Neurospora crassa OR74A: one gene and its partners. The protein of the gene in region 2 interacts with the protein of the main gene of each other region in a biochemical or structural test. Links are inferred from orthologs where the notes say so. Each region holds a gene or a part of one and is shown on either strand. Other genes may lie near its edges.

Region 1 (11,125 bases), on a different chromosome or scaffold from region 2:
AAAAAAAAAAATAAAAAAAATAAAAAAAAAAAAAAAACTGCTCGGTGATTTACCTTGGTCGACGAGTCTCAGACAGCAGAAATTCCATCTTTAGGGAACGCATAGATTAGGAAGTCTCAGTGATGGATGGCTGGCAGTACTAGTATATTTGGCCACACGTTAGCAGTATATTACAAAAGCCCAACAAGACTGAGAAATGTTGCCAGCACCGATACATAATAAACAAGCAGAAACGATTTCCTATCATACTATCAAATACAACGTGTACAACGTGGAGGACCAGCGCCTCCCAACCCACTCTATCTGGTGAAGACACAGAGATCAGAGTGTCGAAGTGCTGCTACTACCAATCGTATGTACCGTGTTGCAAACTATGCCGCTAGAGGCAACGGGCAGCCTTCATACTCCTTCCCAAGCCATTTCCTAATTCTGTCGCTAATCGGTACATGCAATCATGTCGCAAACCACTTTCGCTAAAGGTCAAATAACCTTTACCCCTTTACCCCTTTATCCTTTCTACCTGAATCCGTGCTTCCCAACACCCCCTTCCGAGCTACAGGGAGCAATACAGAAGCATACATCACCAAAGTCACTTCTCAGGAACGAAAACCTACTTCTTCCCCTTCCCCTTCTTCTTCCCACCCCCCTGTCCTCCATTCGCACTCGACCCCTCCCCAGCAGGAATCAGCACCGTCCCCCCTTCCTCCAACTCCTCAGCCGTCACTTGTCCCTCCTGCTCCATACTCTTGAGTTTATCCTGAGCACTAATAAACATGGATAGATCATGATTGGATTCCTTCAGCTCCTCATTTTGCTGCCTCAACATCTTCAACTCCTCCTGCGTCTTTTCGGCCTCCTTCTCCATATGCTTGATCCGCTTCATCAAACCCTCCCCTACTCTTTTCTCCTCTTGGAGTTGTTTCGACAAGTTCCTCGCCAGCTCCGTGCTTTTGTCGGCTCGCTTCCGCTCGCGCGTGAGGTCCCGCTCTAGAGAGGCGACTTCTTCTTTGAGTCGGAAATGCTCCTCTTTGAAATCGGTCAACTCTTGGATGGCACGGGTAGAGGCGGCCGAGGCGGCGTCTGCGGCTGCACATGCTTTGGAGGCTTTGTCCGCTGCCTTGGCGACCATTTCCTCAAAGTAGATGCGTTGTGATTCCAGCTGTGAGGTGAGGAGATGCGTGTATTCGAGCCCGATGCTGTCCAGCTTGGCGCGGGGGACCACTTCTTGGTCTTCGGGTACCGGGGGATGGGGTAGAGGCGCACCCGTAACCGCCGCCATGGTCTCTTCTTGGGAGCTCCATGCCGGGGCAGGGGCACGCGCGGTGTTGTTGCGCTCTGAAGATGTGTTGCTGTTGTGGATATGATGACTAGGGAACTCGACCACTTTGCCCTGGCCCTTTTCGCGGATCATGCGGTGCACCCACATGTCGCCCGCATAGTCCCAGACGTGCTGTGTTTCCATTTCCAGGCTGAAGCTGTGGGCAGTTTCCTTCCAGTGCTGCTTGGCGTGACCGCCCTTGTACCGGCCGCACCCAACGTTGCCGCAGATCAGGCAGATCCAGAGGTCCGAAGGTTCGTCGCAGACGCTGCAGAGGTTAGATACAGGTCCCGAGCCGAAGGGTCGCGAGTACGGGTTTTCCTGGTTGCTTTCCTCTGCAGTAGGCTTGGGATTGGTTGCGCGGCAGATAGGGCAGCCGAAGCCTTTCCAGGTTTGGAGACAAGTGCAGTGAAAGACGTGTTGGCAGAGGATGGTCATGAGACCGGCTGTATCGTCCATACGCTCAAGACAGACAGTGCAGGTTGGTAGCTCGATCAGGTTGGGGGTAGGGGGAGGGAAGGGTCGCAGGTTGAGGGTGTTGCTGGGTGAGGGAAGGGTGTCGACTGGGTTGCCATTTCCGCCCGCGTTGCTCGTGATCGTGCTGTAACCTTTCTGGCCGCCAGGTGATTCCACGGTGATGGATTGGATGTAGGCGACATGGCAAAACTCGGTCTATGGTTTCGAGAAAGTTGCCATTAGCAACGCCAGGAAATCATGTAGTCCAGGAGTCACTCACCTCGATACTGTCAAATGGCCTCCCATTAAACTGAACCCTAAAATCCCTCGCCCTTTGCGGATCCCTAAACTTCATCAAAACCATGTACCGATTCAGCTTGCTCGTCATGATCATCCTGTAGTGGCTCACGTCATCGCGCCACTTTTCTCCTATGAAGCCCAGGAAGTCACTCGGACTCATGTACATGGGAACGGCAGTGATGCAAAGAATAGTGCCGTCGTCACCGCTGCTAGCAGTTCCGTTGCTACCGCTGGCGCTGCCTGCACCCACCCCGGCGCGAAGAGCACTGCTCTCATCGGCCTCGCGGTACAGATGGACGATGCCCCACCCAACCTCCGTGTTTTTGGTTTCGAGGGGTATGTATCGTCCCTTGGTGGCCTGGCCCATGCCACCGAGGTTCGGGCCTAGAGAAGCCGCTGGCGTACCGTGGGACGCACGTTCTTGGTTGCCATTTTTCTCTTGTTGAGATTGCTGTCCTTGATCCTTCAGTGACTCAGCCATTGCTGACTTGTTGTTCTTGGCTGCTACCGGTTTTCCAGTTCCAGCAGTGGCGCTGTGGGTGTCTTTCCCTTTGCCTTTCTTCTGAGTATTGTCCTCCGCCGCGGTTTGTGCGTGTCGCTGCAGATGCCCGTCCCGTGGCAGATCAAGGCTCTCGATGCTGATCCTTCCAAAGCGCCAGTCCTTAGCTGCCGTCCGTGGCCCTAGCCCAGACGTGAATCTTGGCGGAGGAGAAGTCGCGCGCGATTGCTTGCCTGAAAGCCTGACGATGTTCCTGTTGTCTTCGGGGTTCTGGCAATCTGGTCTGGATGCCCCGCAATCGATAACTCCGCCGGTTTCCGTCCCTTCCTCCGCCTCGGGGTCTGAGCTGTCGTTGAGAAGTCCCAAATGCGATTCTGGCAAGGCTCGAGGAATTTTCTCCGAATGGCCCTTCTTCTCTTGCTCTTCGATTTGCCCTTCTCCTTGGATGATATCTCGATTCTGTTTCCTCCTGGACGATGGCCTTGAAGACAAAGATTTGAGCTGCCAGGTACGAGGGTGGGCGGGGAGCTCGTCAAATATGGACGAGTCCTTGGTAGGTAACCAGATATCGGGGTGGAATGCTGCGGCGGGCGCGCTATGCGTCGGATCTGGCGAGGGGTAGAGCTCAAACTTCAAATGATAGCGGTAGACAGGCATGGCATATTCATGGTATGGTCGCAAAGAAATGATTCCTTGTTGTGATGGTCGAGAAACAACAATGCTTTGATGAAAAATCTGATGAAAGTGTAATATTGAGAGTATTGCGTTGACTGTAAGAGTGGAAGAGCAAGAGAAGGACAGAGAAGGATCAAGAAGATGAAGAGTCGATTAAGACACCTTGGACGCGGGCCTTACGTCAATCAAGTCGCCGATGCCTATCTCTGCAGGTTCATGTGTGCCCAAACTCCATGCAGTGATGGTTCTTGCCCTGGTGATTAGAGAGGATGAGAGGTCCTTCCGGATGTCCTCTTCACATTCAACCTTCCACAACTACGAACTTGACGTTGGACGTTGGACGTTGGATCGTCCTTCACAGGGGGGGAGGGAGGGCTCCACGGCCGGACTAGCGCGAACTGAACTCGGCGGTCGGTACGTATCTTTCACGTATGATGCATCTTGTCCACCAAAAAAGGGCGCCACTTTCGGCCACGCAACGGTCACCTCGCACGGTGTGTACCAACCCACTGCACCACCATCTTGACTTACACGTCCGACTCCATCCCCAATTGACCAGATGACAGGTTGACGGGAATAACAAAAGCTCACGAATTGAGACACAAGCAAATCACCAAGAGACATCATGTTTGAGACCGTAAATATAGTCTTTATTATGGCATCGCTGTATGTATGAAGCGTGTGCCATTAGATTCGGCTAGATATGCCCTGTTTCATGGTTGTCATCATTTCCCAACCCATGGATGCAATAAGTAACCCAATAAACGCTGAACGCCCAAATGAACCCTTGCTCGTCATCAAGAATCAGAAACAAAGACGACAATCCGCTTACTGGCCGCCACGGAGGCGCAGCACCAAGTGAAGAGTGCTCTCCTTCTGAATGTTGTAATCAGAGAGGGTCCGGCCATCCTCCAACTGCTTACCAGCAAAGATCAGACGCTGCTGGTCAGGCGGGATACCCTCCTTGTCCTGGATCTTTTGCTTCACGTTATCAATCGTATCCGAAGACTCGACTTCCAGCGTAATCGTCTTGCCCGTCAAGGTCTTGACGAAAATCTGCATACCACCACGAAGACGGAGCACCAAGTGCAGGGTGCTCTCCTTCTGAATGTTGTAGTCGGAGAGGGTGCGACCATCCTCGAGCTGCTTTCCAGCGAAAATGAGACGCTGCTGATCAGGTGGGATACCCTCCTTGTCCTGGATCTTTTGCTTTACGTTGTCGATGGTGTCGGAAGACTCAACCTCGAGAGTAATCGTCTTGCCGGTAAGCGTCTTAACGAAAATCTGCATACCACCGCGTAGACGAAGAACGAGATGAAGGGTAGACTCCTTCTGAATGTTGTAGTCGCTCAAAGTGCGGCCGTCTTCAAGCTGCTTGCCGGCGAAAATGAGACGCTGCTGATCGGGAGGAATGCCCTCCTTGTCTTGGATCTTTTGCTTGACGTTGTCGATAGTGTCGGACGATTCCACCTCAAGGGTGATGGTCTTGCCGGTAAGAGTCTTGACGAAGATTTGCATACCACCGCGCAGGCGGAGGACAAGGTGGAGGGTAGACTCCTTCTGGATGTTGTAGTCGGAAAGGGTGCGGCCATCCTCCAACTGCTTGCCGGCAAAAATCAAGCGCTGCTGGTCGGGGGGAATGCCCTCCTTGTCCTGAATCTTTTGCTTGACATTGTCAATGGTATCCGACGACTCGACCTCGAGGGTGATGGTCTTGCCGGTCACTGCGAAGAGATAGTTAGCATCGGTCGATCGATGGTAAAGTGATGATGCGGTGAGCGTGCGATAACTTACAAGTCTTGACGAAAATCTGCATGATGGGGGTTGTGCAGTGGACGAATGGACTGTTGATGGATGAAGCGAAATGACTAGAATCGAGTGGCGGGAATGATATGTGCGTGGATGAACACTCCTGCGATGATGGCGATGGAGAGAGATGGTGAAAGCGGAAGAAATGGAATCGGGGATGCAGATGGGCGGGGAGGATTAAATAAGTAGGTTCAGGTGCTGGCTGCGGCGGAAGTGGCAGGAATCAGGATGGCGAACTTGGAGGGGCCAGGCTTCCACTGCCTGGAAAGGGAAGCGAAGCGGGGGGGCTGAGTGAAGGGGAAGAGGTGACGGGACTGGAGTGGAAGCGGAAAGGTGCCAGGTCCCAAGTCGATCGTCACTGGTCCGTTTGCAACGCCTGCCACGGTGTGAGTGGTGTGTCACTCACCTTCACTGACAGGCCACGCACAAGCCACTTGGCGGTTGGGAGTGACAGAGAAGTGGAGGGAAGGCGCGAGAAGAAGCCAGTCAGACGACAGTTTCCCCCTTGACTGTTGGCTGTTGCCCGTTGGCAGGAGTGGTTGGACATCCCCCCCAACAGTGACCGCGGCTGATTGATCGCACTGTCAACGCCTTCTGCAGTGGCGGGCACTCACCCAGCCGTTTGCCCGTCAATGCGTCAGTCACCTCAGCCGGGCTGTTTGCCCTGCTTCAGTTAGGTTCTCTCTGGATGAATAAGCCAAAGAATGATCTGCATGTGGCTGGACGACGGACCTTCGAGTTTCAGTTGTTTACAAATCCGAGAGTGCCATCTCGACTTCTCGTTACTTTGCCAGCATCTTGACAAGCTTCTCTCCATGTTATTATAATTGTTCCCTCTATCAGGTTGTTGATGGCCTCTTGCTCGATGCTTCACACAGCAGCAGTCCAGCTGGCATCATGGAATACCGACGTGCACCTTGCTGGTTCCCCGCATTTGATAAGCGAACCCCCCAACGAAGTGAGCGGTCAATGACGTGGTCCGATCGAGGGCACCGAGAGGCAAACAGGGAAGAGTGAACGGTTGGATCGCAATTTTCCAGCAATGGAGGAAATGACCAGAAGACATGAAGATGAGTATATAAAATCAAAGAGACCTGTGACTTTGTCTTTAACCAACACCACAAAGAGTGTCACCAAAGGGGTCGAGGTGTTGGTCGTCGAACGAAAGAACAACCGGACGGGAGGTGCATCCCGGCCAGGCATCGTTTCAGCTCCAGACAGTAAAGGGGCGAGTCAGCTGGCACTGTAAACCACAGAATGCTCAGCTGGTGTCACGGACTCACGGTTGGTTCTTCCACCGACCTTTGCAAAGGCTGCTGAGGTAAGCGCTCCGTCTGGTGCGACGATGAGCTTCGTTAGTTCTCCGTGTTCATGGCGGGACACCGACAACTGAACCGGACGGGAACGGGGAGCTATTACCAGGTATTCTCTTTCGCTTTTCTATCGGCTTTCCGACCGACCGTGGCTGTTGACGCCGGTAAGGATTCAAGACCGGTGACAGATGGGAGACCTCCTGACTGCAGTGCCTGGCCATAAGGGTTCCCACCAGCCCCCGACCGATGATGTCGTGACTCCGTTCCTCCCGTTATCGCCCAGCATTATCGTGGCCTCTTTCTTGGCTCCACCGCCCCGCACTTTAGGAGGGTCGCTCCGCTATTGACGGTCTCTAGCCTCCGTTCACGCATGATCCATAGTATCGCGAGTTACCATCATCGATCAGAATGCTGGGTCCTTTACGCACGAGTGTAATATGTACAGTAGAGGGAGGTAAGCTGTGCAGCACAACATCACAAACTCCTGGAGCCAAGTGACGAGTTCCGCCCTGCCCGCTACTAGGCCTGCCAACCACCTCGGGTGAGACCGGGGCCGGCATCACCTCCTGCACGGGATCCCGGGGACTCCCGCGCAGTCACGCCTACAACTCCCGTCTTCGCAAATGCGGGAATCGTCCTTACGGTCCGTTCAATACACCCATTCGGCTCGGGTTGTGACATCCCATGATCAAATGACAACCCTGAACGTCATCAGATTGGTGTACATGATACTTTTTATTGTCAATGCGTGTAGTGAACCAAGTTCAATGCAGGTGCCTGGTTGCCGTTCGCAATCCTTCTCACTCATTGATCTTGAGTACTTATGTACTCGTCTGGCCTAGGCTCTATCGTAAGAGTTGGAATGCATTTTTCCACTCATCCAGAACCAACGAGCCAACGGCTTTCTTTGCGTGGTAATGACTTGCGTCTTTGAAATGAAACAAGTACACACAACCCAAGGCAACTCTACAAGACTCGAGAACTCGTTTGCTCTGTGGCCCTTCCCATAGTCGGTTCCATGACAACCTGTGAAGAACCAGGTAATGTGTACTTGTGGATGAAAGTTGGCCTTAAACAAACAACCACTCTCTTCGTTTTTCTCTGATGAGGGAACATTGCCTGCTGTAGTACACTCAACAACATCACACCAAAACAAGCACTCGAACAGCCTAATACTCATTAACAATAACCAATAAATATTTCTCAAAAAGAGGATTTCTCGCCTAGGTCGCGGTTTGCCCGCGCGCGCTTATGCAAGAAAGTCCACCTATCAATCCATATCTATATGTAGGTAAACCAAAAGAAAAAGACCAAATCAGATAGACAAAAAAAAACGCCAAGATACCCAATGCAAACCCATTTTCCTCCTCTTCCTCCCCTTTGAGTTGTGCTTTTCTTCGATCCTTTCAAACAACCCTTTCCACTCGCTTACCCTCCTTCATCCCATGCCCTTCCTTTTCCCGTGAGCGACTTCTTCTCTCCCAACTGAACTATCAAAAGTGCCAGACATGCAGATCGTGCTGGTTTTAACTTTTTTGCGATGTATGCGTAGTAGTGTATGGTGTGTTTTGTGTAGATTCGTTGGGGTTTCGTCAAATGTGTATTCATCAAATATTGATCCGTCATGATGGGACGTCAGTCATTTCGTATCGTGTTGTTCGCGGTGGTGACCAGCCACCAAGTGAGTGTGCGCGGCCAAAAAAAATGCCACAAAAGATAACAGAAAAAGGGAGAAGATGGTTGACTATAGAAAATAGTAGCCATAATGAAATAAAGATGAGAACGCCGTCGCTCAATGGCCCCATGAGATAAGGATAAAGAGGAAAACAGGAAACCGGAACAGACCAGCTCTTGCGAGCTTTGCTGTAAAGTGCTGTAACCGTAACGTGGATAACGGGTATCGCAACCAAAAGAGGCAGAGTGCAGCAAGCAAGAAAACAACCTTAGTTGGCCCGAATGACCAGCTTCGACAGGAACTTGTTTGATAGTGAGTCAAAGTCATAGCGGTCGAACTTGGTTTCTTGACGGGTCCTAAGGTAGGATTCTGTTATCGCGGGGTTAGTATGTAGGGTCACACCATGCTGACATTAAATGAGGGGTCATCACTCACCATGCTTGAGGACATGCTGTCTAACTTCGGTCATGGCCTCGCAGACGGCAACGTTGTTATTAAGCAGCTGACCATGCCTGCGAGTATCCCACTCCGTGAAGGCGGGCAGCTTCTGAGAGATGGCGTGGAAGAGGCCAACAATGACACCAACAGGAGTAGACTCCATATCGTCACAGAACTTGTTGACAGCGATAGGGTCAGGCACACGGTAATGGCAGTCGAACTGGATCTCCTCCCAGACAGCCAAGAGGATGGCAGCCAGCATGAAGATAGTAGGCCAGTTCTTGAGACGCTCTCCGCTGTAGACCGAAGAGTAGAGAGCAGAGAGCTCCTCGAGGACCTCCTTCTGGAGCTCACGCCACATATCGGCCATGGCGCACTTGATCTGGAAATTGATCATGACAGGGGCGACAACCTTGCCAAAGTACTTGGAATCCTCGTCATCGATCTGGCCCTCCATGGGCTGCTCCGTCGGCGGCTGCTCAACCATGGTAATGTGAAGAGTGAGGTTGTAAGCCACAACAAGCTTGAGCGCCTTGCGAATGACAGGCAGGCGCTCCTTGACGTAGAACCTATGAGCGGTCTTGAAGAGCTCGGTGATGAAGGGAGTACCCTCGAAATGGTCGTCAATGAACTGCTCGAAGCCCTCATCGACATGCTTGTCGAGGTACTCGGAGAGAGCCTCCACAGAGACACCCTCATGACCAACGTCGAGGCGCTCAGTGCGGATCTCAAAATCGATAGGCTCCTGGTCAGTCAAGGTCGACTCGACCCAGTCGACTTGGAAGCAGCTCTCGTCGGCAACAAACACCTCGCGAACCATGACAGGGAGGCAGAAGCCGTAGCCGTGGGTGATCCACATGAGGGTCTCCTTCTGGGCGAAACCCTTGACGTTGAAGACGGACATGCCGCGGCCGAGGTGACGCTCGTAGTCGGCCTTCCAATCCTTCATAAAGTAACCAATATCCTTGATATCGATGCGAGTGCAAGGCACCTGCCACAAACGAGCGTGAGAAGGCTGGCACCCGGCGCAAGGCTCACCCTTGTCGCAGGTCTTCTTGAGGAACTTGCAACGGAGGCAGGCCCGGAGCTTCCTGATCTCGCTGGCCTGCTTACGCTGCTCAGGAAGGAGGGGTCCACGACGCCTGCCAACCTTCTTTTCACCAGTGCCGTCCTTCTTGCCAGTCGAGTTAGTCCTACGAACGATGGTCTTGGAAGGCTTGGCAGTAGGGCTCTTTCTCGGGCCAGTGATTCTCCTCGGCGGGGGCGAAACCGAGCCAGAGCCATTGGCAGTAACGGCCCTCGAAGAGCCGGCCTTGATAGGGACGGGAGCAACGGCGGAAGAGGGGCTGATCTCAGTGGGTTGAGGAGAGTGGTGGTGGTGGTCACCGGAGCAGCAACCGTGGCGGTTGTTGGTCATATCCATGAAGCCATCGGACTCGGTGGAGAAGGGCGAGTAGGGGAAGGTAACTTCCTCGTAGCTTCCGAACTCGGTAAAGTCAGACTGTTGTGAGAGTTCAGATGTGGTCCTCAAGTGCAAAGTCTGGCCGGGGTTGAAGATGGCGGTATTTTGCGCAGGCTGGGGCTGAGTGAAGTTGTTGTAATCCTGAAACAAAGGCATGTCCACGGTAGCCCAGCCATTGTCGCTTCCAGAGTGCAAAGACAGAACTTCCAGAAAGCTGCCCGTGGGCGAGTGGCTTCCCATGGGCATCCGGGCAAGTTCGTTATGCTGGTTGAAGTTCATGGCCATCTCAAAATCCTGCCAGTTCGCCATTTGCGTGCCCGTACCCGTGCTCCACTGCAGTTGCTGGCTGGTCTCCTCGACGGGAGAGATGGCGTGGTTGAAAGGAGCCTCCAAATGAAGCGTGTTTTCGATGGCGGCCTGGGTGGTGGCGGGGAGATAATCGAAAGCGCTGGGCTGGTGGAAGTTGGGCATGAAGTGGTTGGTGAGAGCAAGCAGAGGCTCGTTCGAGATAAACTGAGGCATATCAGAGACATGTTGCTGCTGCTGTTGTTGCTGCTGCTGCTGGGTCTGCATGGGGAAAGCGGTCCAGTCGGGGAACAAGTGGGTGCCGGTCTGCAGAGGCGAGTGCTGGAGAGGCGAGTGCTGTTGTTGCTGAAGAGGGCTGGACATGACGCTATTCCCAGGCGACTGGCAATTCTGGTCCTCGGGCGACGAAGGCGACATGCTGCTGCTTGGCGAGTGGATGGAGTTGGGTGCGCTCATTCCTCCGGACAGATCAGCCGGGAGCCAAGTGGCACCCGGGCTGAGGCTTTGACGGGCGCTTTGGGACATGGTGGTCAGCGCGGTCGAGGTGATGTTCTGGGGTGATTGGGTCGAGGTGATGATGGGATAGTAGCGCTGGTGGTCTTGCTGGTCGAAGGCCAGTTGTTCTAGCAAGACGGCGTCTCCCCCAGCGGCAGTGAAGTCGTAAGTCATGATGGCGGGAGCGGGAGCGGGAACCAAGGGGTCAATGGGGTTTTGTTCAGGCGAGGATGAGGTGGACTGGAGATTTTCCGTTAGTATGGATCGGCCTTCCGTCTGGCCTCGTTTCGATCCGAGTGCGTATGCGTGGAATGCGTGGGCGTGAGTGGGCGTGGGCGGCGTGGATGGGCCGTGGATAGGCGGCTGACAAGTCCGGGGG
Region 2 (8,965 bases):
TACTACATATCAGTCCCTGTAAGTTTGCTAGTCTGGTTCCTGCCCCATATTTTCTTCCAAGGGGGTAATATGGGGGACTGTAAGGCGGGACTGGTCTATCTACGAGTCCGGGTCCCCGCAGGAACTGTACCCTTCAGTGGGTCCCGGTCACGTATCCTGCGACGTTCCGTCTCGGCCAGGAATGGCAGCTTTCCCCGTTGATTTTCGGTTTATCATCACATAAAGGTTTTGGTTGCTTGTCGACATGTGCGTTCGAGACATTAGGGCAGAGTCCCGATGCGTTATTGGTGGCACCGCTTATGCATGGACCCTTAGTTTAACCTTCTGTTGGTTTGGCGTCCCGCACTAATAAGGCAACAACTGACTGCCAGTCCCTGATCCCCAACAAGGAAACCCCAAAGCACGTTATTCTCCTAGCCGACGGAGGGCATTAAACTCGGTAACCGTAGCCTTGGACCTCCGAACCTACTTACCTATACTTGTAGAAGTGAACTTTGCTCGTACAGGAAGGAAGGACGACGTGGTCTCAAGGATGAAAGCATACCTACAGGTACTTAAACCATCATATCGCTCCCTTCAATTCTTCTCCCATTCCAACCACATCTTTCTCAGTTTTCTCCCAATTAATCGGAAATCGAGTGCTCAAATCATTCCAATCGCATTAGTTTACCAAAAGTCAATTCAATCATTCTTGTTTAATCACTATTACCGTACACTCACTCCTACGCTACCCTCCCGTCGAAAAGACAATTGAGCACATTGGCAGACCAACCCTTTTTTCCGACCCGCAGGTATGTCTCTCGCTCACCATTCTACTCTCCGCTTTCTCGCCTCTCCAACTTCTTTCTAACATAATAGCAACAGTCTCGAAAAATCCATCTCGAACATTCCGGTACAATAGAGCAGCAAGCTCTTCCACCCCAAACCACGTCCAGCCCTTTCTCACAGCAATGGGTAACGATCATAAGTACCTATCTTCTGTTCGGACTCGGACGCTACTGGTTCAGGGCAGAGCGCATCTGGAAGAACTGTTTCGGCGATATCAGACTTCTTTCTCAAGCGTCGTCGATCGAAATCCGAACTCGAATCATGATTTCGGCTCTGATTGGACCGCTGTTCATATTACTATGGCCTGTCGACGTGACAGCGACCGTCATCTGGGGCTACCTCAGAGATGCGTTCCAAAGCTACTCAGATCGGGATACTGAAAGCAAGACTACTCCTGTTAGGAGCAGTACCCCGCCGCCAGCTTATACAACTGATGAGGAATGAGCTCCATCGAAGAAATATCTGACGGAGGACTACCCAGGAGTATGAAGCGAAGGTGTTGATGATCGGCAGTGATCTCATGATAGTTTTTTTCTTTATTTTTCAGCGAATACTTCCTTGCTGTTAGCGTTTGTGATTTGTTTTAAAGAGGAGGGAAAAGATAACAAGCTAAGAAACGCATGGCGGGGCTCCTCGGGTCTTGGAGGAGTGGAGATAACTTCCGCAATTAGGTGGCATCATTATATCATACAGAGAACCCTATCGCATTGCGATACTTGTCAGAGGCAGGGGTATAGCTGCTAATGCAATCACAAGCAACTTGGTCTGCTGCTTCAAAAATAAACACAGCAATGTTGTCTTCGCTCCAATTTTGCTGCTTCGTTTGACGTTCTGCCCATAAATGAATATGGGAATATAGTTCTGGTGGGGGTCAGCTTCCCGCACAGTCTAATTGGACAATCCTTGAATTTCGTTCACTAATCCCGGCTTGTCGAAATCCCTTGCGTCCCGCTCTCCAAGTGTACAGGGATATACAGTGTATATAGACATCTTTGCGCGGTACTCTTGTACCGTAGCGACGAGAGTCTGGGACGGGATCGTGCTGATTCTGCCAGATACGCACACAAAGAAACTTGACGCATTGGAGAGTACCAAGTAGGTACATTAAGTCTTGGGTTTATTTAGAAGATACCAGCGCAACATCCATTCTACCTGAAGCTGGCAGGTTGCTTATGTTCCCAAGTCCCAGATTTGAAGTTGTCACCGTACCCTGCGGAGTGCTGACAGACTGCCTGGTCGGCGGTGCCGACCTTCCATTCTCCATCAAGCCCACGGTAACATATAGCAAGCAATAAGACAACGCAAGATTCTGCAACATTCACTCTTCGCTTTGTCACAAGAAGGGGCCCGTTCATCATATAGGCAGTATTCCACCTTCGTGCCTCGCATACCGAATTCTTGTGTTGTGGCATGTATGGCCAAGGGTTTGCATATGCTAGGTGCGTGGCGCCGACTGGCGGAAGAGCTGGGGTCTCGACCATTCTTCCCACTTTGTCGGCGCCGTTCTTTCGGGCGTTCGGTTGATCGGATGTTTGTGCGGTTCCGTCACAGACTCCCGAAACCCTAGCTGCCCGCATTGCCGTTACTGTGTTACAAGAAAAAAAAGCGAAAGGAGGGTGCAAAGGTTTGTGCAATCAATGAGGGTTCTTGACAGCTCGTGCAGTACAGTACCAATGTACCGCTTCTCGAATCTCCCTTCGGTACTACTCTCTTCAAATCTCACCGCGGCACTCTGCCCAGGCCTCGTCAAGTGGCTTGCTGTTTGAACATGTATTTGCAAAGCGAACCTGGCTTGTCATCTTTGAACATATAACTGGTGGCGGACCGGGGGATGAGCGGTTTGTGTTTCCGGGAATCCCATGTAATTTCTGACAGCAGGTCTGACAGAACAAGTTCAATGTCATTTGAATCTGCATCTCACCCAGTATAAAGTTCACGAAGATAGCAATGGGTCAACAATTGGTTGCCACCAGTCAATCAAACCCATGACTCTCAGCTGACTGCAGGAAAGCTTTCGGTCACAATCGCTTCACAGCAAGCTTACAAATTTCGAAAAGTGATATCTCACAAAGTGATCCCTGGATCATTTATCGTGCCTTACAGATTCCCCCTTGATTCTCATTTCCCATTCTCCCTTGCGCTTTGATTGTCTGTTTGCTACTTATCGCAAACGAACGCTGACGTTGAGCAGTCCAATTGATTACGAACTAGTTATCTAGCGGGAATTTGTCGTCTCGTATATCCTCTTTAGGTCTTGCTTGTTACTGTTCCCACACTCAAACGCCTGTGCAGTCTTGGCGGACGTGTGCGTGTACACACACACACAACTTTTTGGTAAAATGGACTATTGAAACGAAAGACGAAGATGAAGAAACTCAATTATCCTATGGAAAAAAAACTATTCTCTTAATAATCTTAAGTACGCTGACTCTGAATCTCAAGTCGGATTTCTTTTATCTCTTTGTTTGGTAGAGATATAAGCAAATGAAATCTCATCGATGGTCCGTTTTGCCAAAAAGTTGTGTGTGTGTGTACACGCACACGTCCGCCAAGACTGCACAGGCGTTTGAGTGTGGGAATGTATAAAAACCTTCGGGTTCCTCCTCTTGTATAATTGAGTAAGGGCTACCGAAATAGGAACGGCGAGTCTGTGGGCTATTAGGCCAGGTTTGGTACCGCGAGTTTACCCTCATAGCCAGAAACGCGATAACTCTTCAGGGGAAAAAAGAGACAACAAGCACGCTTTAGCCTCAAAGAGCTATCATCTTCCGCTGTTATGTGCCACCCGTCACAAACATCACTACAACCTCCTCGCCAAACACCACGCTCAACGTCACGATCGGCAAAGTGATTCATGGACGAGCACACTTCGCCCCAACGCCATTGTAAGGTGGGGGAGGGTCAGGGTGTTGTACATTTGGGTTCGTCGGAGTTGTGTTTAGGGTTTCCGCAATTGGTAAGGTCCTCGGAAGTCCTTGTTCGTTATTGATCGCTTTCGATACGTAGCAAATGATACAGCCAAACAAATCGAGAGGCCATATTCCAACAAACATCAGAGGTATCAGGCAATATGCTGCGATCCGGGTTCTTTGTTGGTTTTCTGTGTAGTGGGTAAACGTATCGATAGCTCCATTCCAATGAACCCAAATATTTATCGATCGATACCAGAACCACATGTACCCAATGACAACCCATCCAATAATGGCTGGAATGACTGTCTGGGTTGGGAAGTTGTGGTTGTCAACCTCAAGGGCTACTGACTCGGTGATCTTCATCCTAGAATATTTATCAGTATATGAGAAAGGAATTAGAGTGACCGGAAAGTAGAGAGTTGAATAGTAAGCGAGAAACATACCTGGAATACTTGATAGAAATTTTGCCACGCTTGCGGGCAACACCAAGAGAACGGAAACCACGGGTAGCGAACTCAGCAACCTTGTTCTTGTAGGCCTGGTCAACCTCCTCAGAGATGGGGTGGTCCTCCTCGACAGTCTTCAAAACGAGGGGCACCCTTGACGCAAGTGATGCGCTCACCCTGGGGAGACTCGACGACGGCGACGACCTTCTTGGAGACGGGGTCGAAGGGGTGGAACTGGAGAACCTTGTACTTGGAGAGAATGGACTTGGCGCGGGGGTAGTACTTGAGGGACTTGAGGAAAGCCTTGTGACGACGGCGACGACCTTCTTGGAGACGGGGTCGAAGGGGTGGAACTGGAGAACCTTGTACTTGGAGAGAACGGACTTGGCGCGGGGGTAGTACTTGAGGGACTTGAGGAAAGCCTTGTCGATGGTATCAATACCCTTCTTCTTGCGGGAAGCGGCTAAGCAGGCAGTAAGCATGAGATCCTCGGGGTCGACACTATGATATAATCATCAATGTTTGGTTATATGTTGGGAGAAGAATTTGAGAGGGGGGATACAGTAGTTTAAGTACCTGTTGGGAGGGCCCGGGTCGGGTTTCCTATCTGATTGCATTCATCCTTTGTGACCAGTCATCCTTTCTGTACGAGTACCGGTAAAGCTCACTTCTGCAAGTACATAGGTAGGTTGGGAGGTCCGAGGGCACACGGTTTCCAAGTTTAATGCCTACCGTTTACCAGGCGGGATGAATACTAAGGTTGTAATATCATCCTGCCTATACGAGCGAAGCTCACTTCTGCAGGTACATAGGTAGGTTGGGAGGTCCGAGGTTACGGTTGCCAAGTTTGATGCCTACCGTTTACCAGGCGGGATGAATACTAAGGTTGTAATATCATCCTGCCTACACGAGCGAAGCTCACTTCTGCAGGTACATGGGTAGGTTGGGAGGTCCGAGGTTACAATTGCCAAGTTTAATGCCTACCGTTTACTAGGCGGGATAAATAATAAGGTGGCAGTGTCGTCCTGCCTGCACGAGCGAAGCTCACTTCTGCAGTTGCGTAAAGGTAAGCAGGCGCTGGTGCTCGGCAACATCGGTACATACCTAGAGCGTAGAACAGCGCGACATACCAAATACAAACTATCTAAGCTGAGGCTTGATTCGCTTTCATTCGCATATTGACCAATGTAGGTATTGAAGTCTACGTAAGAATCCCAAACCCAAGGACGCTGTAGGCTATACTATATCTCGACCAAGACCCGTAAACGACCTGAAGAGGCTCCCCCCCCAAAAAGTATACCCTTGAATATTTTGCTGCAGGTCCCAACCTATAAACGCCATGGAAGAATGCAATTGCTTGCCCAACGCAGCCCCACGCTGCCCTGCTCTCCCATACATCTCTTCTTATTGTACAGCTCATGGACATCACAACCATCTGCCCGCAGCAAACACCAGCGGATCCAATACTTGGCACTGGTACATCCAATTACCCGTCATCCAAGCTATTGGTTGGTACGACAACGACGACTCCGCAGGAGCACTTTAATAGCATAACAACGTGAACGCCAACCGACCGGAGAGGGAAGCAGGAGAGTGTGATGGTTCGACTTTAGCTTGGCCTGCCAGAATGGGAAGAACTAGGAAATGCAAGTCAAGAGGGAGACAGAGACCAGACTTTCAAGCTGACGTGGGGAACGAAAAGAAAAAGAGAAAACAGCATAATGGACCAGGCGATAGGAAGGAAACGGAACTTGAACTCCCTCCACCAGAGATTTTCTCGTTCTGAATCTTGCTGCACGAACGAAAGCAGCCACCGATGACGAGACAACGAACGGGCTGCGACAAAAAAGCGAAGAGAGGGAGTGAAATGGGCCGTATAAGCAGACGTAGGGAAATTGGACAGCCGAGGGCTGAAGGACTGACGTGACAGGGGAAGGGGAAGAGGAGGCGGAAAAGGGGTGATATTCAGCAGCACAAAGCACGAAATTTGGTCGCCTACTCACTCTTGACGTATCTGGTAAACTTTCTGGCAGACCGACCGATCGAGCGAGCAGCGAGCAGCGAACGCGAAAATCGAAACCACAAAAAAAGGATGTACATCGCCATAAAAGAAACACGACGGATGCCAGCAGTATGACAGCGGGAGTGGCGGTTTGCCTGTGTTACCAAACACCCGCGCGAAGAGCGAACGGAACATATCCGAGGCCGAAGTTACGACGGCCAATTGACGACTTCAGTGGATGAAAAAGAACAAGGTGGATGAAACTGAGTTTAACACTAACACCTGATGACTCCCAAAGGAATTCGAGCTAGGTACAGAGGGGGTAGTTGAAATATAAAACATCTGATGAAGATTTTGGAAGACGCTGCGGGACGAAAACAGAATGAGGGAGGGGATCTGGTCGGATGCATGTGCCCACGCTGCGCATTGAAGCGTAAAGCCAGCGAGATGAATGAAGCCACCGAGTATACTACCTCAACAACCCCATGTGTTGCGGGACAATCAGTCCTCATCCTGTTGGTACGAAATCTTGCGCATCTCGCCAAGTCTGTGGCGAGCAGCATTCAATGCGTTTTCGAGTTGAAGGATTTCGACCTGTGATGGGGAGAGAATGAATTGGTCAGCAATGAACCATAATAGGCAAGACCAAGGGTACCGGAAATGAAAGAGGAAGGAAATCTCGAAGGAATCACGTACCTGTTGCTCCATCTCGCGCACCTTGAACTCGTGCGACCCAAGCTTGCTGTAGTCCACTTGCTCATCCTCGGCACTGCGGTCCTTGATCATGCTCTGGACTTGTCTGACGAGCGCACGGCAGGCGGCACCGACAGCCTTGCTGGCCTCCTCCAGGCTCTCCTGGTTCTTGCTCATGAAGCCGGCCTTCACACGGCTGGCAGCCACGAGCTGGGCGGTGGAGGCCGCAACATTATTAGATGCAACGATGAGCTGCTCAGGGCTGTTGCGGTTGGAAAGAACACCGTCAGCAGTCTCGATGAGAGTGCTGGTAGAGTTGGCAACAGCCTTGGCGGCGGAAATAAGACCCTCGGTCCATCTGTTGTTCTTCTTGTAAAAGGCGGTGCGCGAAGACGAGCCACGACCAGCTTGCACAATCTCCTGCTGTGTAGCGGTGGCAGCCTTGATGAGCTGCGCGATAGCGGTGGTAATGGCCATGGCGGCATCGAGGATTGAGTCGTGGACCTTGAGTTCGTAGGTAGTATATCCATCGCGAGGTTTGTTCTTGAGCTTCTGCAAACGGGCAACGGCAGCAGCAATGGCATCGGCTGCCCTGCTGAGTTCTTGATCGACGATGTCGCCAAGGTCACCCTTGTTAGCGAGCTGGCCAAAGCCAGGAGCGAAGGTCTCGACAAGCTTGTTCAGCTTTTGCAGGTTGATCTGGACATCGTTATTGCTGTTGATGACAACGTCGGTCTTCTGAAGTGGATCCATGCCCTCAAGGCGGAAGCTCAACAGACCACGGAAGAACTTGACTGTCGAATGGGCAGATGAACGAGCACCGTTGATCAAAGAGTCTCCCTTCTTCTCGTCAGTAGCGAGGCGAACGAGACCCTTGGTGTTACTGCACACATCAGCGATGGCGCCGGCGAAAACGTTGGCGTTCTTGATCAGCTCCGCCGGACTGCTGCTGGGACCATCGGCGATGAAGACGTTGAAAGCGGTAGCGAACTCCGTGGCACTCGCAGACGCCTTCTCAATCTGCGAGAGGACATAGGAAGGCGAGGCGTTCTGGTTTCCGGCTTGCATGTCAGAATCGAGCTCATACATGGCATCATCAACACGCTGAACGCTAGCTTGAAGCACAGAGTCGATAATCTCGTTGACCTTCTCCAGCTGGGAGAGGATCAAAGCGTCCAGCTGGCCGTCAAGGGCTGAATCGGAGACACCCTGGTTGTTCCTGAGCTCATTGAGCTCGATCAGTGTCTGGTCCATGCCAGCTTTGTATACCTCGAGCTCCTCCTCCTTCTCGCGAAGTAGCGCTTCAAGATCCGAGCTTCCATCCCGTAGCTTGGCTTGGGCCTCTTCCAGTGCTCGTGACTTGATACGTAAGGCTTCCTCTAGATCGGCCATCTCGCGGTTGTACTTGGAAAGCATTGTAGAAAGCTCGTTGCCCTTGCTGCGCTCCAGATTATCGGCGCGGTCCAAGGCCATCCGCAACTCCCTCTTGAGCTTCTCAACCTCGTCCTTATTCGAGCCTTGCAGCCTGTCCTTTTCATGAAGAGCACGATCGCGCTCACGAATCATGTCTGCCAGCTCCAAGTTCTTGGTTTTGATCTCACGCTCAAGCTTCTCCCGCTTCTCAATCGCTTCCTGAGCGGAAGCCGCTTTCAGCTGTACCGTCTTGAACTTTTGGAGGAGATCGAGATGCTCGTGGCGAAGCTGGGAATAGAGCTTCGCAAGCGCTTCATACTTTGTCCTCCAAGTGTTGAGTTGTTCTTGGAGAGCACGGATTTGGTCGTCTCGGCTGTTTATTTGCTGCCCGTAGTTACCCTGGATTTGTTGCAACTCGCTTTCTAGGGCCTTGACCCTTTGGTCGTACTGCTGGAGCATTAGTTGATCCCGCTCGTACTGGGCCCGGGCATTCAGATTCTCCTGTTCAAGCTCAGCAAGCCGCCCTTGAGTCTGCCATTGTGTCTGCTGGGCCATCAAGGCCTCTTGCTCCCTTTGCTGTTGCTCCATCAACCGCCGTTGCTGTTCTTCGAAATCGCGTTGCGCTTGTAGTTGTGCTTGCTGCTGCGCTAGCAACGCCTGCTGCTGCTGTG
Region 3 (10,116 bases), on a different chromosome or scaffold from region 2:
GGTGTGGGAGTGTGACGGATTGCTGAAAATATCATTCAGCCATCACTTTACTCCCTCACTGGCTCCTTGTGCGACTTCACATCCTTCTCCACCGCATCGTCAACGTCATTCTCCGCCTCCGCAAATTCCTCCTCAATCTCCTCAACCTCACTGACATGAGGATCCCCAGAGGGAGGGCGGTGGTCCGGGGAGACATCACCACCGCTCATCTGCCACTCCATCAGCTTACTGAAGTGGCTGTCCTTGTTGGCGCTCAGCTCTGTGTAGCTGCCAATCTCAGCCACGGTACCCTCGCTCGAGAGCACAATGATCTTGTCAGATCGCTTAATGGTGGACAGTCTGTGAGCAATCGAAATGGTGGTGCTGCGGCCCTTGAGGAGTTCCGCAAGGGCAGAATTGACCAGGGTCTCGGATTCGGCGTCCAAGGCGGAGGTAGCCTCATCCAAGATAAGAATATCGGGGTCCTTGAGGAGGGCGCGAGCAATGGCGATGCGCTGCTTCTGGCCACCGGAAAGCTGGGCGCCACGGGCGCCGACCTGGGTCTCGAGGCCTTCGGGGAAGTCGCTAATAAAACCGCAGTTGGCCTTCTGGGCAGCCGCAATGATCTCGGTGCGCGGAGCCCGTGGACGGCCGTAAGCAATGTTTTCGGCAATGGTACCCGAAAAGAGGACTGGCTCCTGTGAGACCATGCCGATGCGGCGGCGGAGAGACTTGGCGTTCATCTTGGAAATGTCGATGCCGTTGATGGTGATGCTACCGGATGTGGGGTTATAGAAGCGCAAGAGTAAGGAGGCCACGGTGCTTTTACCTCCGCCTGAAGGGCCTACAATGCACACGTTTGTGCCCGAGGGGATCTCAAAGTCGAGGCCATTGAATATCGTAACTGCAGGTCTGGTAGGGTAGGCGAACGTTACATTCGAGAACTTGATGGGACCTTGCGCAGATTCAACCTTCACACCAACGGTCTGGGGGATGGCCGGCTTGCGATCCTCGAGCTCGAACAAACGACTCGCTGCGCCGACACCCTTCATCAGTTCCGAGTAGAAGCCGCTAACACCGAAGAGACTCGAACCAGCAAAGACAGTATACATCATGAACGAGGTCAAATCGCCCAGAGACATGGCCCCTGAGCGCACAAGGTTCCCGCCGACAATCAAGAGAGCCAGGATCGCCAGATTTCCTGCATACGACGTACTGCTGAAAAAGACACCCGAGACAATGGCCTCCTTCCGGCCCAGGGCGAAAATCTTTCTGACCTGCTTGTTGTAGCGACCCACCTCTTGCACTTCAGCGGCAAAGGCCTGGCTGGTCTTGATGTTACCCAACCGTTCCTCGGCGATCTTCATCAGTGAGCCGACGTTCTTCTGGATCTGCCTGCTCAAGTTGCGAATGTTGCGACCGTAGAGAACCGCTCCAAGACCGATAGGGGGAACCATGATGAGGATAATGGATGTCAGCTTGGGGCTGAGCCAGAACATGGCCGCGAAACCCGCCGCTCCGCTAACCATGGAACGGAGACCATCAGACACGTTCTGAGTAATGCTCTTGCCCACGACAACCGTGTCGGAGTTCAGTCGCGAGATCAGATCACCGACCCTGTTGGCATCGAAGAACTCGGCATCCTGGACGTAGGTGCGGCGGTAGAGATTCGTGCGCAACCGAGCCACGACGCGCTCGCCGACGATACGGAGAATGATGATTCTGCCAAAGTTGGCCGTCGCACCAAGAGTGAGAAGACCAGCGAGGCCGCCGAAGAACTGATAGAGGGTAAGACCGAAGAGCCGAACCTCGCCGGCGGGACCCTGGGTGGAAAGATCCAGAATTCTGCCGATCGAGAAGGGGATGGACATGGTGACCGCGGACGAGATGAGAAGCAGGACGAATGCGACACTCATCGCCTTGACCTCGGGGCGCGCAATCTTGATCAGACGCCAGACCTCGGCGAAGCCGGGCTTGGTGCCTGATTGGGATTTGCCATCCTTGGAAAGACGAGCGCTCATGTTGATATGGGCGGCCTTATGCGCCCTCTCGCTTTTCGTAAAACCGTGTACCTTGAGGTGTTCTTCAGATGTATATTCCTTGACCTTTTCAACGTCCTTTGCCGCCTCTTCTGCTGTCTCTGCCGCAGCTTCCTTGGCCGGCTGCTCCCGTAGGCGAGTTTGTGAGGTCGATAGCTGGCGGAGAAGGCCGAAGGGGGAAGTCCAACGTTGGGATTGTACGCATGGTCGTGATCCGGGATGGGAGGATGAGAAAGGAACCGAAACGATGGTAAAAGATGTCGTCGAGGGCCGCTGAACTGACGAGAACGGACGGCAGAATTTTGCGGACAGAATCGAGGAAGTCATAGTGGGCGATCGTTGGAACGGCAGCAAAGCCGCGAGCCCGGCGCCGCTACCGCCGCATTGGGGGAGCAGCACGGCGCGGCGCACCGCTACCCCCGTAACCATGGCTTGAAGTATATGTGTCTTGGGTAGGTCGAGTGTGTATGTGACTAGGTACTAGGCTCGCTGTATCGTAGAGTTTCGGTGTCGAGTTTCTATCATATCATGTCGGTGTTGTGCAGTGGGCTATGTTACTAATTGCCTGATGCGAGACCGCTAGCGCGCATGCGCGCCTGTTTCTGCGCTTGTCAATGCCCGGTTCCCTTGAGTCCCTGCACTGCGTGCGAATGGGTGAGTTTGGTGATGTGGAATGTGGTTGAGGAACTGTTGAAGGAAACGTGGAGAAAGAAGTGGTGGAAAGGTTCCGAGGTCGAGGGACGGGACGGACGGCGGGGGGGATGATGGAATGAAGTCGGGATGACACCCAGGCAGTTCGGTCGGCTCGGCCGTCGGTGCAAAAACCCTTGCTTGTCCCGGCGGACGGGATCTCAACTTCAGTGGTCAATCGCCGGTTTGGCGCTGCAGCAACTGCGATTGATTCGCCGCTCAAGCTCTGGGGACCACGACGGCGGGAGGGCGGCTTCGATTCCCTTGTTCAATTGTCCCTCTCCCCCCCCCCCCCCCCCCCAAAACAGGGCAAAGCGCGCATCTTTCACCTGCAGTCGGACATTTCGTCATTCAGCAGCGAAGAGCAAGCCACCACCCGACAACGATGCCGGCGGCATCCACTGTCAATTCCGGAATGCGTTCAACGATGTCGGTACCTTCTACAAGTGGCCCGTGCTCAAGCTTGGCCCATTCCACTCATGCCACTTATTTGTACCTCAGGGGTATTGAAGCTGTGCGGACGTCATCAACTTCAAAGGTCATCATGGTAATGAAAAAAGACGAAAAAGACGATCGCTTGTGTAAATGCCGATGATTTTATTCACGATATTTCTACAGCGAACCGAATGGCGCTTTGCCCGTCAAGAATGAAGCATGCCAATAATCCTTAGTCCTGTCCTTCTGTATCTCCACATACTCGCTCCAGAGAAGGTTTCAGGCCCGCGCCAAAATGCCACATGAATGATGATTCTCGCCATACAGCCATTATCGTTCCCCTAGACCAGCAATAACGGCAACAACTCCAGAGTGTTGGGCCATATGCACTCAAACTGATACAAAGGTAGAAAAACTTCAGTTCGGTCAAGTTTTGCTTCCAAAAATCTTCTCCCCGTCCTTGTTCTAAATCGTGCTTTCCTTCTGGATCATCTCGGCGACATCGGCATCTATGCCTACGTCAGGAATGTCGGCAGTCTCGTCGATCTTGCGCTTTTTGGCCTCTCGAGTTGGAACAGACTCATATTGAGAAGCGAGGGCGGACAGCATCTCAATGCCAGGAGCAGATCCAGTTGGGTGAGTATGACCGTTCTGCGGCTGTTGTTGCTCAGACGGGCGATGATCGTAGAAATCGTCGTGATCTTGGACGTGGGGCGGCGTGAGTGCTTCAACCTGAGGACGGGCGATGCCGTGGCCATCCGAGCTAGATGGAGCGCGCTCCTCACCGGTAGCCGGCTCTTGGGTATTGTGAGGCAAACCTCCAATGATGCTGAGCTCAATTGCTTGCTTCTTCTCCTCAACTGCCGTCTTGCGGGTGCCTAGATCCCTGAGCTGTGATTGCTCGGCCTCCAAGGCCTGTCGGTTGGAGCTCAACATCTTCTCCAATGCGCTGATCAGCTCTTCGCGGGTCTTGATGCATTCCGTCACGGCTCCCTCAGCATTGGCAAGGTTTTTAAGAAGCCCGTTGAGTCGCGCGGCATACACTGGCGCCTGAGGAGGAGCGTGGGCCGGATCCATCAGCTTGCTGTAGTCCGAATTGGCGGTAGTAAGGCTTGTCTTCAACGCCTGGGCACTCTTGGAAACTGCCTGCTGTGAGGTAACCAAGGGTGCCAACTCTGGAGGCACCGCTGCAGCTGGCGACGACAACGATGTGGAACCGAACATTGTTCCACCGGAGCGGGCTGAGTCAAGCTCTGGATTGAACAAGTTAGTAGCTTGTCTGCGGAAGGGCTGAGGCCACGGCTTACCTCTTAGTCGAGAGTCTATGGCGTCCTGGACTTCTATGGGGAATATCTTGCGTTCTCTCCAAACATCAACAACCCTTCGGAGCTTGTTCTGGATGTCTGACGAGGCGCCCTTATAAGACAACGCGGTTGCATCTGCGATGAATGGAGAGAAAGCCTGAAGGAAGTCATCCTTGTTGCGAGCTTTGGATTGCTGCGTCACCTCTATGAGAAAGACGAATAAAGTCAGCATTCAGTCCCAAACGAGAAGAAAGAAACCCAGAACGAACGCCGGGGGATGCACATCACATGCAGCCTATGTGGGAGAGCCTGGGAAATGCACGCACCGTTTGCAAGATAAATCATGTTGAGCCTCTTGGGACTGGGGAGGTCCTTCAGCTTGGTCAACCAGAGATGGACAGTCTGGGCAGCATGTCGCCTAAGATACATCAACAGTCAGTTCGGCGGTCGAGACATCAAACAGCAGGTGAATGCGGTCGTCGGTCGTGGGCAGCGGGAGCTTACCGATGGAACATGATCCACTGAGCGGTGGTTGCAATGCTCTCGTGAGTCTCAGTGAGTGCAGAGAGCTTAGAGAGCACAGCATCCTCGTTATACGCCATGGTGAAGCTTTAGGCGAAATTTGTTGGAAAGTGTTGGAAAAAGTGGTTGTTGATGGTTGGTTGGTTGGTGGGTGTGATGGACGGGGCAGATGTTCAAGATATGCGGTGTCGGGTTTATTCAGAACTCATCTACAGCAGTACGAAAAGGTATCCGTGATGTTTGCGTGTAAGTAGCAGGGACTCCAGACGCGGCCGAGTGGTGATCTAGAATATGGATCGAAAGCCCTTGGGAACAACCTCAAATGGCAGAAGCGTGGACTATCAACACAACACACTAGATGACGGCAAGAGAGAAGTGCTCAGCACGAACTAAGCACCTAGTCAAGCTCTGTGGTCCAACTACACCGGAGTCGTTTCCCTGCTATTACCAATGCTGTCACCAGGAAGAGTTTGCAGTGCAAAGCGCAAATGAGCGTGATCTGGATGCTCTGTGACAAACAACTGAAACCACAGCGAGGTGAGTGCTGAATGTTGTTGATGAAAGGAAGAAGAAGAAGAAGAAAAAGAAGAAGAAGGAAGAAAGAAGTTGTCGACGGGAGGTGGTGGGACGGAACGAAGCAGACGTTGGAGCTTCCTCCATCCGTCCAATGCGAGGGCAGGCAGGGGAAGAGGGACAACGGAACGCCTGCCGCACGCAGACAATGGAGTTGCCTGCCGGTACCTAAAGGTAGCTGTTACTACCTCTACGGCTTCCCCTGGCCAAATGGAGAGGCCCAAGAGGGTCGCTGTTACTGTGGACAAGTGCCAAAGTGCCCCAGTGGCCGCTGTGAGTGGCGTCCCGTCGCAACCTGGAACCTGGCGCGATCAGGAGCGCTGGGGTGGGCTGCAACTCGGACTCCCGCAGTGCAACACCAACACCAAAAGACACTTCCATCAAACAACGAAACACCTTGCCTGTTTCGCAGCTTTCTTCGATCCTCCGTCCTACCCAATATTTCCGTTTTTCAGTCCACTTCTCCAGCCTCCAGTCTTGTCCGTTCGCGCCGATCTACCAAAAGTCAAATCACACCACCCACATCATGGCTGACAGATTCCCCTCGCTGGAGGAGTTCGACTCCGGCGGTAAGCTTGGCGTTGTTTGGAGATCCCCTTACCTTGCTGTTACTGCCTGCTAACATTCAAACCCCCACAAAAGCCCAGACCGAGATCAAGGAGGGTTCTGGAAGCCCCTCGGCCTCCAACTTCCTCGAGCGCGAAAAGGCGCTTCTCGGCGACGATGCCAACCAATTTGCGACAGTTGAGGATGCTGGTTTCGACGATGACAACGACCTCCTAGGGGGTGGCCTTGACTCCTCCGCTGGCGCCGGCGCTGGCCTTGAGACTAGCGCTGCTTTCGAGAGCCAGTTCCCCGACCTTTCCGCAGGCAACGAGGTACGACTAAATAATGATGATACCAAAGATGTCGACACAGCACGTAATCATGGTCTTGGGTTCTAACATGGGGCATCTTCACTTTAGTCTGTTGCGCCAGGCGGTACCATCACTGGCGCCGGTCCTTCCGTCACCTACAACTCTGGATATGCGCCATACGCCCAGGAGGAGCAAGAGCCCGAGGTGATCAGAGAGTGGCGCGAGAAGCGTGATGCGAAGCTTGCCAAGCGGGCGGAGCAGTTCGCCGCCCAGAGAGCCGAGACCATCGCGGAGGCGCAGAAGAACATTGACGAATTCTACGAGAACTACAACAACAAGAAGGAGAAGGCCATTGGGCAGACCCGCAAGGAGGCCGAGGAGTTCCTTGCCAGCCGCGAGGACACCACATCGGGAGGCACGAGCTGGGAGCGCATTGCCAAGCTGGTTGACGTTAGCGGCAAGGGAGCTAAGGGCGGTGCTGCTGGTTCCGGCAAGGAGCGTTTCCGTGAGCTCCTGATAAGCCTAAAGAAGGACGAAAAGGCCCCCGGTGCCTCGGGGATTTAAAGCGCTTACTTGATCTGCCCCCATGACAAAGGGAACGCCTGGTTACCACTATTCACAGGTTTCACACCTCCATGGCCACTACTGCCCCATGGCCAAAAAGCCATAATTTTGTAATGATAGAAAAGACTTGACAGCTGCAGCCATCAGTGTTTGGAGCTTGGTAATCGAAGCGCCGAGACCCAATGGATCACGATTTCCACGGTTACAGTAGCTCTCCCAAAGGTGGTCGGTGGAATCCATGATGCAAATAGGGAATATCGGCGTGGCGGCCTACTTCTTGGAGGTATCACCCAAAGCGGCCTGCCCTCTGCCGCCATCTATGCTGCTCTTTGCGACTATACACATATTCAAAGGGATTCTCGTGCTTCTATCATGACCAGTAGCACCGCCTTCGTTGACTATCGTGGTAGGACGGCTAATTTAATCCTCCGAGAACCAGGTGTTGTAGCCGAGAACCTTGCGGGACATGGCGTACATGGAAGCTGATGTACAGTTAGCGGAAGGAGCAAGGACGAAGCGATAAGCCATCAATGAAGGTATACGCACCGCCGAAGGTACCCCACATGGCAATGTTGAAGGTGGTCATGATGATGCCGCTGCGAGGGCCCTGTTCGCGATTTTGTCATCAGCCCTTATCCCGACAAAACCTCCCTCTCCGTCTCTCCCTCTCCTCCTTCCCATCTGTTGATTCCCCAACCATCCTCAAGTGTCGACTTCAACTCACAATCTTCCAGAGGCGGGTGTGGTTCTTGAAGGCCTGCTGGTAGTAGCGCTGCTTCTCGGGGACGTGGTTGGGGGCGTTGACGAGGCCGCTGCAGTCGGGGAAGAAAGAGAGCTGTTAGCCTGGGATTCCAAAATCGTACGACGAACAATAGTGCGTCATGACGACAGGTAATTGGACCTGGGGCGGCGTCCGCAATGCGCGCAGTCGCTGGAGGGTCGTCGGATCGTCGAGGAGCTCGCAGCCGGAGGGGAGAAGCTTACGGCATCTTGAAATTGTTGTCGGGGGTCGTTGGGTGGAAGATTCCGGGGGGGTGATGCGAGGGGTTGGTGTGATGATGTCGAATGCGTGGAAAGGACGGAGAGTTAGCTTTGAACCTCTCACTGCTTCAGGTTTCTCGGCTCGGGGCTTCCTGTGGTGCACGGACTTGTGGATGGTGGAGACTGCAGACCCGACGGCGGAAGCTCTGCCTGCCTGCCTGTTTGCCAGGTGTAAGGTTTGGTCAGTGCTCACAGCTTTCAGCTGCTGCTGATGCCTCGACATTGACCTTCAGACTGAGCAGCTCAGCAGACTCACTGCCTGCCGGGAAGGATGGGGGATTGAAACACATGATCGTAGGATGACTAAGAAGCAAGTTAGGGAGCGATCCCCGGCCACACCTGCAAGGTCCCCTCCACTTTTGTGTCCCCTCCACTCCAGAACGTCAAAGCTTCCAGCCCGAGGAGTTTCCACATCCCCTCACAACCCCATCCGTGGGATGGACCGCCCGCGATACCCCAGAACTCGAGTCAGTCAACGAAGCCCCAGGTACCTCGCGATCTATACGAACGATACGAACAACGACGCCAAATAACCCAGCGGCAACCTCGAAGCGAAAAAGAAAATGAACATGATCGCATCAGACAGCCGCTAAGAAGAGTCCCCGCCGCTCATATGCCCAATTCTCTGTGTCGAGCGGCCACAATTCCATTATGCGAGTCGTGCCTCCTGTGCTGCGACATGTAGCTCGCTCGCGCCGCTCCACCATATCGCACTTATACACGGACGCTGTGCACTTACAGGCGTCTGGACTACCATCATGCGTCAACTTTTCAACGAGCGCGTGCTGGTCGCGGTCGTTGACGGCATACGCACTTTCGGAGACTTTGGCGGCGGAAGAGGACCACGGTGTTCGGAATACAAAGAAGGCACGGGGCTCGGCAGTGCAGGCGCTACCAGGCCAAGCGTCTACCACACACGACCTGTCAGCATGGTCGGGCTTTCGGTCATCCCGCATCGCTAACCAGCCCTTCAACCGTGACGATTGGGATGTCTTGACGGCCACCGAGGAAGACTTGCGCTTCCAGTGTGATGTCCACGCAGATTCGCCCGAAAATGGAAAGCCGCGACTGGTTGACTGGCCACAGTATGCGAACGACATCACCCTTTGGTCGTGCATACTTGAGCACCGCCAGCGCACCGAAGGAGATGCCGGAGTTGCAGCAGTTCTCGAGGGTCTGCAAAAACGGCGAACCTTGACGGAAGTGGAAGGCTCAACTGCCGAGAAATTCTGGCAAGCAATACTAGATGTGGCCGTTCACGATCAAGCAACACTGCACAGTGCTTGGTCCTATGCTGAGTGGCTCCACAGTGACCGCGGAGTCCTTTGGCCAAACCTCTACGCAGGTGTTGTATCTTTCTTCATAGCACAACAGGATACACAGTCAACGCTGCTTTGGCACTTACGCCTAAGCTCGTCGTTTTGCTCCGACTCAGAACCCCTTACCCACGTGCTGAAGCAGTTCATCACTAATTCAGACGCAAAGGTTCGAGAAATCCTACAAGCACTGTACATGACGAGTGTCCGCCAAAACCTCTACGACGAGATGATTCCTTACCTCTTCGCCCAAGGAGAGGAAGGTATTGCCCGTGATTGGCGTCGGCTGTTTATTTCTCACAACGACTTGCCAACAACCGAAGCTTCGCGGCCATTCTTACAGTTCTTGGTCGGCTTTCATCCGAAAATCCAGTTGACTGACAAAGAACAATCCTTCCTTATACCGCCGAGTAAAGCTGCGCTTCCAAGTAGTGCAGACCTGAACAGCCTGTTAAGGGACGACAAGTCGCAAGTTGGTATCAACTTCAACTACCAGATCTCCAAGGGTCTGGGTAATATCTTCGGCATCAAAGAACAAACAGATAATGACAGCTTGGGCGCTAGATGGTTTGCGACCCTCAACTTCTCCATCGAAACCATCATTGGTACAATCTCGACTCTCGGCTTTTCTGAAATCGGGCCACTTTCGTTACAGTCTATAGCCCGGCGCGAACCCTCCCCTGGCCGACTCCTTCATCACATTGCACAGCTGCAAGAGTCTGGAATCGGAATTGGTAACTCGAGCTATTCGAAAACACTACAGCACTTTGCTACAGTTGGCGACGAGGACCTGTTT

The links.
Region 1: the proteins of eat-2 (region 2) and ubi form a complex in vitro, tested with the Saccharomyces cerevisiae proteins (2 studies listed by BioGRID). The link is inferred for Neurospora crassa OR74A from reciprocal best matches to the Saccharomyces cerevisiae genes SLA2 and UBI4.
Region 3: the proteins of eat-2 (region 2) and NCU04115 form a complex in vitro, tested with the Saccharomyces cerevisiae proteins (2 studies listed by BioGRID). The link is inferred for Neurospora crassa OR74A from reciprocal best matches to the Saccharomyces cerevisiae genes SLA2 and CLC1.

What each region holds. Positions count from the first base shown.
Region 1 is NC_026506.1:3,139,983-3,151,107, reverse strand, and holds ubi (ubiquitin), read right to left. Parts: upstream 6,065-11,125; 5' UTR 5,790-6,064; intron 5,722-5,789; 5' UTR 5,065-5,721; coding exon 5,043-5,064; intron 4,973-5,042; coding exon 4,077-4,972; 3' UTR 3,525-4,076; downstream 1-3,524. Other genes in the region: NCU11215 (RING-10 protein), read right to left, coding at 611-1,990, 2,055-3,230; NCU05996 (C6 finger domain-containing protein), read right to left, coding at 8,314-8,414, 8,481-10,920. UniProt on the Saccharomyces cerevisiae protein: Ubiquitin exists either covalently attached to another protein, or free (unanchored).
Region 2 is NC_026501.1:1,862,408-1,871,372, forward strand, and holds the end of eat-2 (cytoskeleton assembly control protein Sla2), read right to left. Parts: coding exon 6,885-8,965; intron 6,783-6,884; coding exon 6,690-6,782; 3' UTR 6,145-6,689; downstream 1-6,144. Other genes in the region: NCU01957 (AR2), read right to left, coding at 3,681-4,104, 4,184-4,687, 4,763-4,803. UniProt on the Saccharomyces cerevisiae protein: Required for cellular morphogenesis and polarization of the cortical cytoskeleton. It might act in concert with proteins such as CDC42 and CDC43 to limit the region of cortical patch formation to the cortex of the bud.
Region 3 is NC_026505.1:4,894,158-4,904,273, reverse strand, and holds NCU04115 (clathrin light chain), read left to right. Parts: upstream 1-5,817; 5' UTR 5,818-6,068; coding exon 6,069-6,111; intron 6,112-6,184; coding exon 6,185-6,420; intron 6,421-6,507; coding exon 6,508-6,963; 3' UTR 6,964-7,167; downstream 7,168-10,116. Other genes in the region: NCU04117 (ATP-dependent permease MDL2), read right to left, coding at 48-2,447; NCU04116 (DUF618 domain-containing protein), read right to left, coding at 3,609-4,396, 4,451-4,651, 4,774-4,865, 4,952-5,049; NCU04114 (hypothetical protein), read right to left, coding at 7,384-7,445, 7,510-7,570, 7,688-7,775, 7,948-7,952; NCU04113 (hypothetical protein), read left to right, coding at 8,656-10,116. UniProt on the Saccharomyces cerevisiae protein: Clathrin is the major protein of the polyhedral coat of coated pits and vesicles. In yeast, it is involved in the retention of proteins in an intracellular membrane compartment, presumably the trans-Golgi. The yeast light chain is important for cell growth.